2 linked regions of the Schizosaccharomyces pombe genome follow. Changing the gene in region 1 together with any one later gene gives a genetic interaction. Each region holds a gene or a part of one and is shown on either strand. Other genes may lie near its edges.

Region 1 (3,419 bases):
GAGCGTAACATAGCCGCTTATACCATGCACCACGTCGACAAATACGGAATTGGCCGTGTCGTTGAGATGGCGATGGAGCACATCAATCCTGGTAAGAGACGACCTGTCCATCTTTCCTTCGATGTTGACGCTTGCGATCCCATCGTTGCCCCAGCCACTGGTACCCGTGTTCCAGGCGGTTTGACTTTCCGTGAGGCAATGTACATCTGCGAAGCTGTAGCTGAATCCGGTACATTGGTTGCTGTTGATGTTATGGAGGTTAATCCACTACTTGGTAATGAAGAGGAGGCCAAGACTACGGTGGACTTGGCCCGCTCTATCGTTCGTACTAGTCTTGGTCAAACTTTACTTTAAAATTACAATTTATCAATATATAAAACGAATATTGATTTTCATGAGCTGACGGGACGAAGAGTGCATTCTTTTTATGTGGAATTAAGGGAAAAAATATAAATAACGTTACTATTGTTTAACCGTTTAAATAGAATTGACTTAGGTATTAACAAGTTTTTTGATCTGATTACTGAAGTTGAGTAAAAGCATATTATCACGTAAACATTTTTATTAAGGATAATCACTAAAAGTAAAACAAAATAATCAGTACAACGGAGGATACGACTCCAACGAAACCGGTGAACCATTGATTGGTTTGTATTTTCATGTCATTAATTTCTTTGTGTAAAATATCCACTTCATTGAGAATTTTCGTTTCATTTTCGTGAATATTTGTGTTTCTAGACGTTGCGGCATCTTTCATACGTCCTTTTTCAAGGTTTAAATTCAATCTGACTTCAGACAAAGCGGTTTTAACGTCTTCGCGGAGAGAACTCTTGGTTTTTTCAATTTCGTTAATAAGTTTATCAGAGCTTTTCCTAACTTTATCAAATTCATTTTCCTCAATCGTCTCCAAATACTTCCGAATTTGTAAAAATGTTCTTTTTTGCTGGAACGACACAGATTCCTGCTTAGCTTTAAATCCTATATTTTTCTCTAACTCTGTAAGCCTATAACGTTAGTTGGAAAGCTCTTAAACTTTTTACTTACGCCTCTCCAGTAATGGTCCTCATCAAATTAGTAATTGTTTCTGCATTTTTTACAGAATAACCAGCCTGCTCTAGTCTTCTGGAAGACTGTTTAAGCAATTCAGGGCTTGGTTCATAAGATGCAGAATATCTTTCGGATTGGATTCTATTAATAATCGTCCAAGGTCTATTTTGACTTAGAAATGGGAAAATTTGTTTCCGAATAATCATTTGTTCCTTTTTTATTTGTAAATTCTAAGGAACGATTCAATATTCATGGGCGATTTGAGAAAAGATACGTCAAAAAAAGTAAATTATGTTAAAGAAGCAGACAATTGCATTTGAAGAAAATCAATCTTTATACTACTACGTTCGGTGGTGATAATTTAGAGGTTTTGGTGTTTCTGATATGGTAAAATAAGGCGGACTAATGAATATTTTAGTCTCTAAAAATAAAAGAAATATATATGTATATTAAATAATAATTTTTTAAACGATTTAAATTGGGTTTTATTTCCATGATTATTCTTCACAAATTATGACTAAGGTAAACCAACTTGCTTTAAATTTTAGCGGGCCAGTCTTTAATATAGCATTTACACCAGCACCAAATGTACGCTAACAAATAAGATTGTGGATGCTGAAATTGCGTAAAAATAAAATGTACAATATTAAACAAACTTCTTTCTCAATGTTAAAAATACGATTTTCTTAATCCTAAGCCTCAAATAGTTTTCGGTATCTGTAAAATATTCGACGTATCTTATATAGTAATTAATAAATATTATTTAGTGTCCCACTGAAAAAGCGTTTGCAGTGTAAACCCGTTAATAATTAAGTCTAGAGGAAATATGTAAAATTTTGAAAAAAAAAATTCCAAAAGTAATATGAAATGCATAAGGATCAATGGAGACCACCTATAAATATAAAATCGTACGAGTGAAAATCCTAAAAAAATGTCATGTACGTAGTGAAAGCCATTGCGAAGGCACCAATAGTAAACATAAAAATATCAAGAGTACGTAAAATCCAATTATTTGCACAAGCCTTATAATGTAGCATCGGCGGATACATATAGATAAGCGGTATGCAACAGACGCTACCTACCATACTTACAAATAAATCAAGACGTGAAGATCCACTAAATTGTTAGCAAATGAAGAAATAAAAAAAAAAAGGAAAAACGTACGCCCAAGATATTAGGATAGCTAGAATAACAATTAAGACACGAAGATAATTCTTCCTCCATTTAATTTTTCTGTTTCTTTTACCGCTTCTAGTGAAAATTCCCTGTTCAATGATAGCAATTGCAGGAAACAATTGCAATGGGGTACTAAGCAAAATTGCAATAGCATACAAGAATTGGATAATAACGGTGAAAGTACTCTCTGGCATATTCAAAATAACCACCGTTTTGACCTTTGAACCAAAAGCAGCGTAAGACAGCAACCCAATAGAAATAAACAAGAGAGAGATCGCTGCCATCACACCTGTGAGGAGCTTAGGTAAATTCTTTGGTTTAGCCATCTGTTCTTGGATAGGCAATATCAAACAAATTCCTTCGTAAGTAAAAATGGCAACACCAATAAATAAACTAAAATCAGTTTTGTTAAACATTGCAACATCGGCTATTCCTTTAGTGGCTAGCGTAATCACGTCCCAGAAATACAAATATAATATCCCTAGCAAAATAAAAACATCAGCAATTAAAGCAGTAGCAGAAAGTTTTGATATCTTGCGAACGAGCGATAGAGGGACAAATACCAAAAACTGAATAAAAATGAAAACAGCTAAATGGTATTCTCGGTGAGTAGTGGATATAACTTTTACACATGCTTGTAATGTGCTAGCAACAAACGAAATATAAGCACTCGAAAATCCAATCTTAATGCATTTAGTAAAATATTTAAATTTAAAAACTTACCTGTGAAACCACGATAGAAGCAAGAATAGCAAATCGCATATGAGGACCATATAAAGTTCCCCCAATATCACCAAAACTTCCAGGTACCTTCATTCGAGTCTGAATGAGAAGTAAGAAGCAAATATGAGACAATACTCCCACAATAAGAAGGGTCGCACTTGAAAATACCAATCCACCTAATTTAAAGCTAGACATCGGTTAATATTCTAGGAAATAATAAAATAAAAAAACGTTAATTCCATAAAACTTACGCTTTGGGAAGAAAGAGTACACCGGTACCAACAAATGACTTTAAAAGTAGAAGTACAGCTTTTCCGTTTGAAGCATTTCCAGGCGTCTGTAGTTTGTAACGTCCATGACGAGAAATCAAAGGTTCTTGCTCAGAGGGAACAGTAGAATGAATCAAAGAAGGATTAACGTCTCGAGGCATAGCAAAGTCGTCTGTATCCTCATCTTCATCTTCTTCGCTAAGT
Region 2 (7,467 bases), 1.0 Mb from region 1:
TTTCGCGAGTTTTTACATATCAAGAAATTTACGTTACTTATAATTGATGGTTAGTTAATCGTTTATTGCTTCATTAATTTACATCTGCTTCGTATCTTGAATGGAATGTTCTTGCTATGTTAACCATCTCGGATCGAGCAATTTAATTACTGTATATACGAAATTACAATTATTAAGTTAGAAATCATTTAAATAACTGAGAAGTATTGACTTTGTGTCTTTGCTGCGCACTGAATAAAGTGATTTGGTAAGCCTCACTTACTGACCTATCTCATCATCTACCTACCTAAAGAATCTTCATAATTAGCACAACTAGTCGTTCAATTGGTTTTCAATCTCTTTAATTTCATTATATTTTGCAAAATCAAGTACTTGCGTAATCGTTTATGGTCAGTATTTGATTTTGAGCGCATACCCCTAGCCTTAAGTTTTTTTTTTTGTTTTACTACTTGTGGTCATTAACCCGACGAAACTCTGCATGTTGTTTTAACCATACAATAATTTCCTTTTTTACTATCATATCAAATTCGCTATTATCAAGAAAATCCATATTAACGAGTCAGGTCGACTTGAAATTAGACTGTTTGGACTTCTCCTTCTAAACGGAATACGTTAACATTATTATTTTCAAGTGTTTTACTTATCTAAATATTTGTCTTTATAGCCGAATATGGCAAGTTTTCATATAATCGTTTCTTATGTCACTGTTGTTTTGGCTATAATTATCGCCATTACATTTGCTGCTAGAAGATTTTGGATATCTCGCTATCGAAGTATCAGATATTCACCTGTTGAAAATTCTTTTGAAGCAGATTTCAACAATGGGCTTAACTCCAGTTCATTTGATATCGCCCAAAATATTCTAGCTCAGGACACTCGGGCCGGCCTGGACGAAGCCGCTACTTCACAAATTCGTGGATTGATGAAACAGCTTCAGTGCTCATTTGATCAGGCAAGACTCATCTATATCCGTAAAGTCATGAGTGACAACAACGTTGACTCTACCGGCATGCCACTTGACAATAAAGCTGTTACAAAACTTTAAATGTCATTAAGCAACAACTGAAATCAGAAAATTACGCAAAGTCCTAAAAAATCTTAGTTAGTGTCTCCGAAAATATCTCAAAATCTTCATCGGCGGCCGGAATTTATTTTTTATTTATTTTTCCAGAATGGTATGTTAACTCATGGATACGAAAACATGTGGATACCGATTTATTTCGTTAGTTATGGAAACGAAATATAACATTGTCATAAGCTTTCTCAAACTTTTTACGATTCATGGACTTCCAAATCTTCAATTACTGCTAACGCTATCAATAATTCTTAAGAATTAATGAAATGTTTATCTTCAATGTTCTGACGATCCGCTGTACTTTCCATGTTCTATTTGCTATATGTTACTTTTGTGATCATTTGCTGCAATATATCAGCAATTCTCGAGATAGTAAGGCTGGTCTAAAAATTTTTTTAGTATTCGAACTAGCTGTTACTATTTTCAATACGGTAATGCTTCAATTAGCTAACCGTGTAAAAAACGGGCTCACCCTTGCAATATTGATTGTCTCTGTTGTAATGTTTGTGTATCATCAACAGCTAATAGTTAATTGCAAAAAGATGCTAGCCTTATAATTATTTGCTTTTCAAATTCCTTGAAGAGTAAAATTTTGAAGAAATATTTTGTTTTATCATGTTTGATAATGATCAAAGTGAAATTTCGTTTATTGTTTAGTTTATTATTGATACTTTAAGAGTCAGTAAGCTTATTAAAAGAGAGGTAACATTGTTTTTGAAACTGCGTAAGCAATATACGGGGCAGCAAGGAAGAGTGACAAAACTGGTGAAAAGTTTTAAGGTAATTGTTTAGCGCAGTACTCAGAGTCATTTAGCAATGCGTCATCTGGTATGTAACCCGCAAGGAAAAATCACATGTATGCTACTTCCATCAGTGCAGTCGTTTTGTAACCTTCTTTCTACAATTCATAACACACAACCTCTTTCTTTTTTTTGAACAATCTGTGAGGGTCTTATCGATTTAGACAGCATTTCGCCTCCTTCATTCATTATTTATTATATTCCCTGATGTAGAACAAGAAGGCCTTGCGATGGACGCGATTCATCCCGTATCTTTACGAAATAGTAAAAGACATCCATTACTGCATTCTGAAAGAAACCTCAGCCGCCGTGCAGTTTCTCCAAGCATAAGCAGATCATTTTTTCAGCATTCTAATGGATCCTTTCCCCTATTTCAGAACCACAGAAAGAGCTTACCTTCCGCTATATATAAATCCGTAGATCCATATGTTGATGCCAACCCACTAGATCCCTTAGCTGCTGCCAAAGCGAGTTTTGCGGATTTTCCTGAACAAGATGATTCTCAAAGTTCCACTAGTCCTTTATCCTCGAAGTATCACACCAAAAAGAATAAGCAAATTTTTGTCGAGGATTCAAGAAGAGGCGGGGCGGCTTCGAACGCGGCTGCCATTGCGGCTAAAAAGAGTGGTTATTATGAACGTACATCAACTAGAAAACGGTCGTTGACCGTTCCAACACCTCGTACATCTTTTCCGCATCATCCTCGAAGTCGACGATTTTCATTAAAGAATGCCGCAATTGCCACTTCTTACCACAAATTCAAACCTCTTTCATCCAATTCACTTTCTTCTTCCGGTATGCATTTTTCCGCTAGTAAACAGGCCTTCAACTCTCCTTTACTACAGACTTTCAGTCCTTCCCCTTCTGTATCTCCATTTTCGAATCCAGCCGTAGAGAAATTGAAAACCAGTGCGAGCAAGCAAGCGGCTGAAGCACAATCTTTAAGAGAGTTTGATTTTTTCACTCCTACTCCTGAACCCTCAGATAAGAATTTGGAAAAGCTGAAAAATGGTGCCAGTAAACAAGCTAGCGAATCCCAATCTCTCAAAAACATGGAATCACTTTCATTAGCAAGATCTTCACCAATCCTTACTTCAGAAAAGTTAAAAAATGGAGCTAGTAAGCAGGCTATTGAATCTCCACCTTTCAGAGCTTCGGAACCACTACCTTCATCAAATATTATACCGAATCCTGCTATGGAAAGGTTAAAAAATGGAGCTAGCAAACTAGCTATTGAGTCCCAACCATTTAAATCAGCGGAACCGTTATCTTCAGCAATTCCACTTCCCAATCCTATGTCCGAAAAGATGAGAAATGGCGCCAGCAAACAGGCTATTATGGCCCAAAGCTCAAAAATCAATCCCTTACCGCCACTAACAGCTTCAATTTCAGACCCGTCTTTTGAGAAATTAAAGAACACTGCTAGTAAACAGGCCATTGAATCTCAATCTCTAATGAATAGTGGCCCTGAACTTTTAGAGCCGTCGATTTCAGACCCAATGTTAGAGAAAATGAAGACTGATGCTGGTAAACAGACTGTTGAATCTCTGTCGTTGAAGAGTTCTGACGCTACAATTCCAAAACCATCAGTATCAGATCTTGGGGTAGAAAAACTTAAAAATGATGCTAGTAAATGTGCTGTCGAGTCTCAGTCCTTAATGATTAATGATCCCTCTGTTTCTTCAACCTCATTTTATAACCCAAATATGGAAAAACTGAAAAACGGTGCCATCAAGCAAGCTATTGAGCACCAAGCTTTAAATGCTGCCATTTTGAATAAGACACAATTACCTTATTTTCATCAATCATCTTCCGAACTACCAATATCTGCTAGCAAACGGGCTGCATTGTCTCAACAAACAGAGTCGGCCTCAAAGTCATCTAGTAATATCTCTGAAATGTGTGATTCACATCCTCCTTCTAACTTTTCAATCTCTGCTAGCCAGCAAGCTAGCAAGGACCGTTTTTCGGAGGCTACTTCTTCTATCGATTTGGATCTGAGTCCTGGTAGAAGTCTCTCTTTGGCTTCTAGTAAGCTTTCTGTGAAAGAAGCTGGTGCTCGCGTTTATAATAGAAGCGTTGCTACTCCAGTAATGACGCCGTCCAACCCATTCGAAATTTCCAAATCAGCAAGTCAGTTAGCGAGTATAGCTCAAGTACCTGTTTCCGAACCCGCAAAGACTTCAGAAGTGAACCTTAAAAAAAGCCTTTCCTTAGCTTCTAGTAAACTTTCTTTTCAGGAAGCTGGTACCTCCCTTAAAGAGAAGACTGCAAATGTTCAACATTCCCCGGAAGTTTTGAATGACCGCTCTTTGGCGTCACTTTCTGCTAGTCGGCATGCTGATGCCATATCTTCGAAAAGCAAACAACATACTGAAATCGCGCAGCCAGCATTTAATACGACTGGAACTGTGCTAATGAAGACAAAATCAAACCTTTCAGATTCTGCGTTAAGCACACCACAACATTCTGATTCGGTGCTTTTCGATATTACTTCTAAGGCTGCAAGGCTCGCTTCTACTTGTGCTAAGACAGATCTACACAGGAAACCAAGGAGAAAACATAAATCATTTACCCTTGAGAATTATTTTGGGCATAATGCTGAAGACGAAAGCCCTCAATCTGACGAGGTTGAAAGTCAAACGCCCCCTTCAGGATATTCTGAAAACGATATCGGCGGAACGGACATATACCCTTTTGCTTTACAAGGAGCTGCTTTGGCTGCCGCGAAAGACTTTTCAAGACGTGAAGCCTCCTTAAGTGATAGCCAATCCGCTGCTTCTATGGATATGTTGCCTATGAAGAAGAAATTGTCCCATTCATCTGCATCTTCTACCCGTTCTATTAAATCGTTATTAACTAATGCTAACCAAAAGCATATTCATTCCTCTATAAATGAAACTGATGATATTCCTACAATGGCCGCTCATATTGTTGCAACTGGTCAGAAAAATAAAGAAAAAGCACCTTCTTTTTCTAATGATCAGGCCCTTGATCACTTGCTTGGGTCTGCTCATAAACGAATTCCTTCTAATAAAACGGAATGGTCGTCGTCATCATTGCACATTCCTTCGCATAATTCTTTTTCTGACATCCATCATAGGAAAATAGCTGCTCATGCTGCAGCCATTACGGCTGCTTCCGAAAAACTTACACCCTCCATAGAAGAAACGTCGTATTCTTCGTCCAAGGCCCATGATGCGTCTTTGAGTGCTGCCACTCTAGTTGCAAATAAGGATAAACTCATTCACGCACCTACCCCTCAAGTCCTGGCTCCTGTGCTGCCAAAAGTTTCACTTCCTCATCGTCATTCAGTTTCACTTGGTCAAATTCGAGGAGAATCTGAAGTTGAAGGAGATGTTTTTTATGATGCTCCTTCAGATAAAGAAGACCTTGGATCTTCAAACGCTCCTTTAGATGTACCACATGGTGCTAATCGTAGCAGCATGGATGAAGTTAACGGTTCAAAATACGATTACAGTGATGGAATACTTGATGGCTCAGGTCAGTATACTGATAGTGATATGTCCGATGACGAGAACTCTCTCAAAGATTCGCAAAGTTCGGTTTTAAGCTTTTCAGCTGTTCCCACAAAAGTATTGAAATTTAAGTTGCGTGATGTATTGGGTTCTGAGTATTCTCCATCTCCACAACTGCTTGCCTCTTCAAGTGATGTTTCAGGCTCATCGTCAGCAGTACGCGCAGCTATGAAAGCAGACAAAATCTTTCCAGCTGTTCATGAAAACCCACCTCCTTTAAAAACGAAGCAATCAATTGCCAAACCTTCACCTCATACATTGCGAGTTCCTCAGAAAAAGCATAAACATTTTTACCATCGTGATGACGGAAAATACAAGAGTGGAACCAATTTGCGTAAATCCGAAACTGTTGATCTCCCGCAGTTCTTTATTGATGAAAATCGTAGAAAGCTCTATGAAGGGTTGTGGGCTGCTAATAAAGGTTATTTACTGAGCAAATCAGAATATTCCAAACCGAATGATTTGATTTGCAATATTGTTGTCCGCGAACTCTGGTCTCGTAGTGGTGCTCCAACGAGTGTTTTAGCCAAAATTTACGATCTCGTTGATAGACATCACACAGGTGTCTTGGGGCGTGATGAATTTATTGTCGGTATGTTTCTGATCGATCAATATTTGAAAGGCCGCAAGTTACCGTTGAAGGTACCAGACTCTGTATGGCTAAGCAGCAAGCGTATGGGGGATATGCTTTGGCGATTAGAAAAACTGCAGAAAAAGACAGATAATAAAAAACCTTTCTTCAAAAAAAAGAAGAAAAAGAGAAAACATTTGAAAAAGTTTTTCGACTTTAATACAACAGCAAAGGTGAACGAGGGCGCGATGACTGACTAGAGAAATCAACATCGGGTCCTCTTTTTTTTAACGGGAAATATCTTTAAGCTTATCAACATTTATTAAAAAATGGCATTTCGGTATTACTTCATTAAGGTCTTTTCATTTGAAACACTCCGTTGTGAACCTGTTTTCGTAAAGCTTTCGCTATTTTTGCGAACCACGTTTTCAATCAGTTGTTAGTTTGCTTTTGTTAATCGTTAATGATAGTACTTTCTGATCTATTTAAGCTGTCGATTGTTTTACTCAATTTGCAGATATTTCACAACCGAAGCGACCTTTTTAAGCGAAAAGAAGGACTTTATTTTTACATCATAACTTTTCATTTTGCAAAACTTTTATTATTCATTTTTACATTTTTTTATGCATTACCCTTTTTATTACTTGATTAATTACTGAAGCATAGGTTAGATTTACGCTTAACGAATTCCTTGGATACCATTTGCTTGTTTGTTATAAAATTTTTCAAGTATTATTTATATCCTTTAATTAGCATTTTTTAACTATAATAAGCCAACACAAAGGTTTAGCAATTAAAACTAGCCAAAATACTGTTCGATGTAGATTTTTTTTTTAAAAAGACATGACTTCTTTATTAAACAATCTTGCTAGTATGAACTTGTCCCAATCCATAATGTGTTGTGACTCACTTTCGATCCTTAAGTTTAGAGGTAAATAAACCAAGTTCTCCAAGGCCATGATGCCGAACTTCTGTTTTTAATGTTAAAATCATAAGATATTATGGAGTTAGCTAAAATTGGAGACAGGCTTAACAATTATTACAATAATATTTATACACTTTCCGAAAAACTTGGGTATTCGTTTACAAAGATCAGTTTTAACAATATCATCTTGGACGCTTTGTCAGGACACCAAAGAAAATTGGAGATCAAAATTATAAATATTGAGTCAAAATGCAATGAATTATCTTCTGAGATATCTCTTTTAAGAAAAAGACTGGGCATCATCGAAGAAATCGAAATACCGCGCACTCTAATTGACCAATATGAATGCCTGGTAACTTACCATAATGGTATTCGAGCAATCTATAACACGAAGAAAAATGAAGCAAAAAATATGTACAAAGAAATTGAAAGGTTATCTGTAATCCTTGGTGAATCAGTTGATGAGGTGAATTTTGTGAACGGTGATTTTGAGGACATATCGGATATAAAGCTTGAGCAGTTGTCAGCAAAATTAAATGAACTTCATCAGATATACA

The links.
Region 2: mutations in SPOM_SPAC3H1.08C (region 1) and irs4 together harm fitness more than expected from each alone (negative genetic interaction), as found in Schizosaccharomyces pombe (one large-scale study listed by BioGRID).

Annotation. Positions count from the first base shown.
Region 1 is NC_003424.3:1,944,849-1,948,267, forward strand, and holds SPOM_SPAC3H1.08C (uncharacterized protein), read right to left. Parts: upstream 1,403-3,419; 5' UTR 1,254-1,402; coding exon 1,045-1,253; exon of another isoform or gene 1,005-1,044; coding exon 578-1,004; 3' UTR 545-577; downstream 1-544. Other genes in the region: arginase Aru1, read left to right, coding at 1-354; vacuolar amino acid transmembrane transporter Avt3, read right to left, coding at 1,971-2,163, 2,212-2,906, 2,947-3,133, 3,198-3,419.
Region 2 is NC_003424.3:912,987-920,453, forward strand, and holds irs4 (ENTH/VHS domain protein), read left to right. Parts: upstream 1-1,975; 5' UTR 1,976-2,105; coding exon 2,106-6,245; 3' UTR 6,246-6,789; downstream 6,790-7,467. Other genes in the region: SPOM_SPAC1687.07 (uncharacterized protein), read left to right, coding at 671-1,045; SPOM_SPAC1687.08 (uncharacterized protein), read left to right, coding at 1,342-1,632; protein mcp1, read left to right, coding at 6,987-7,467.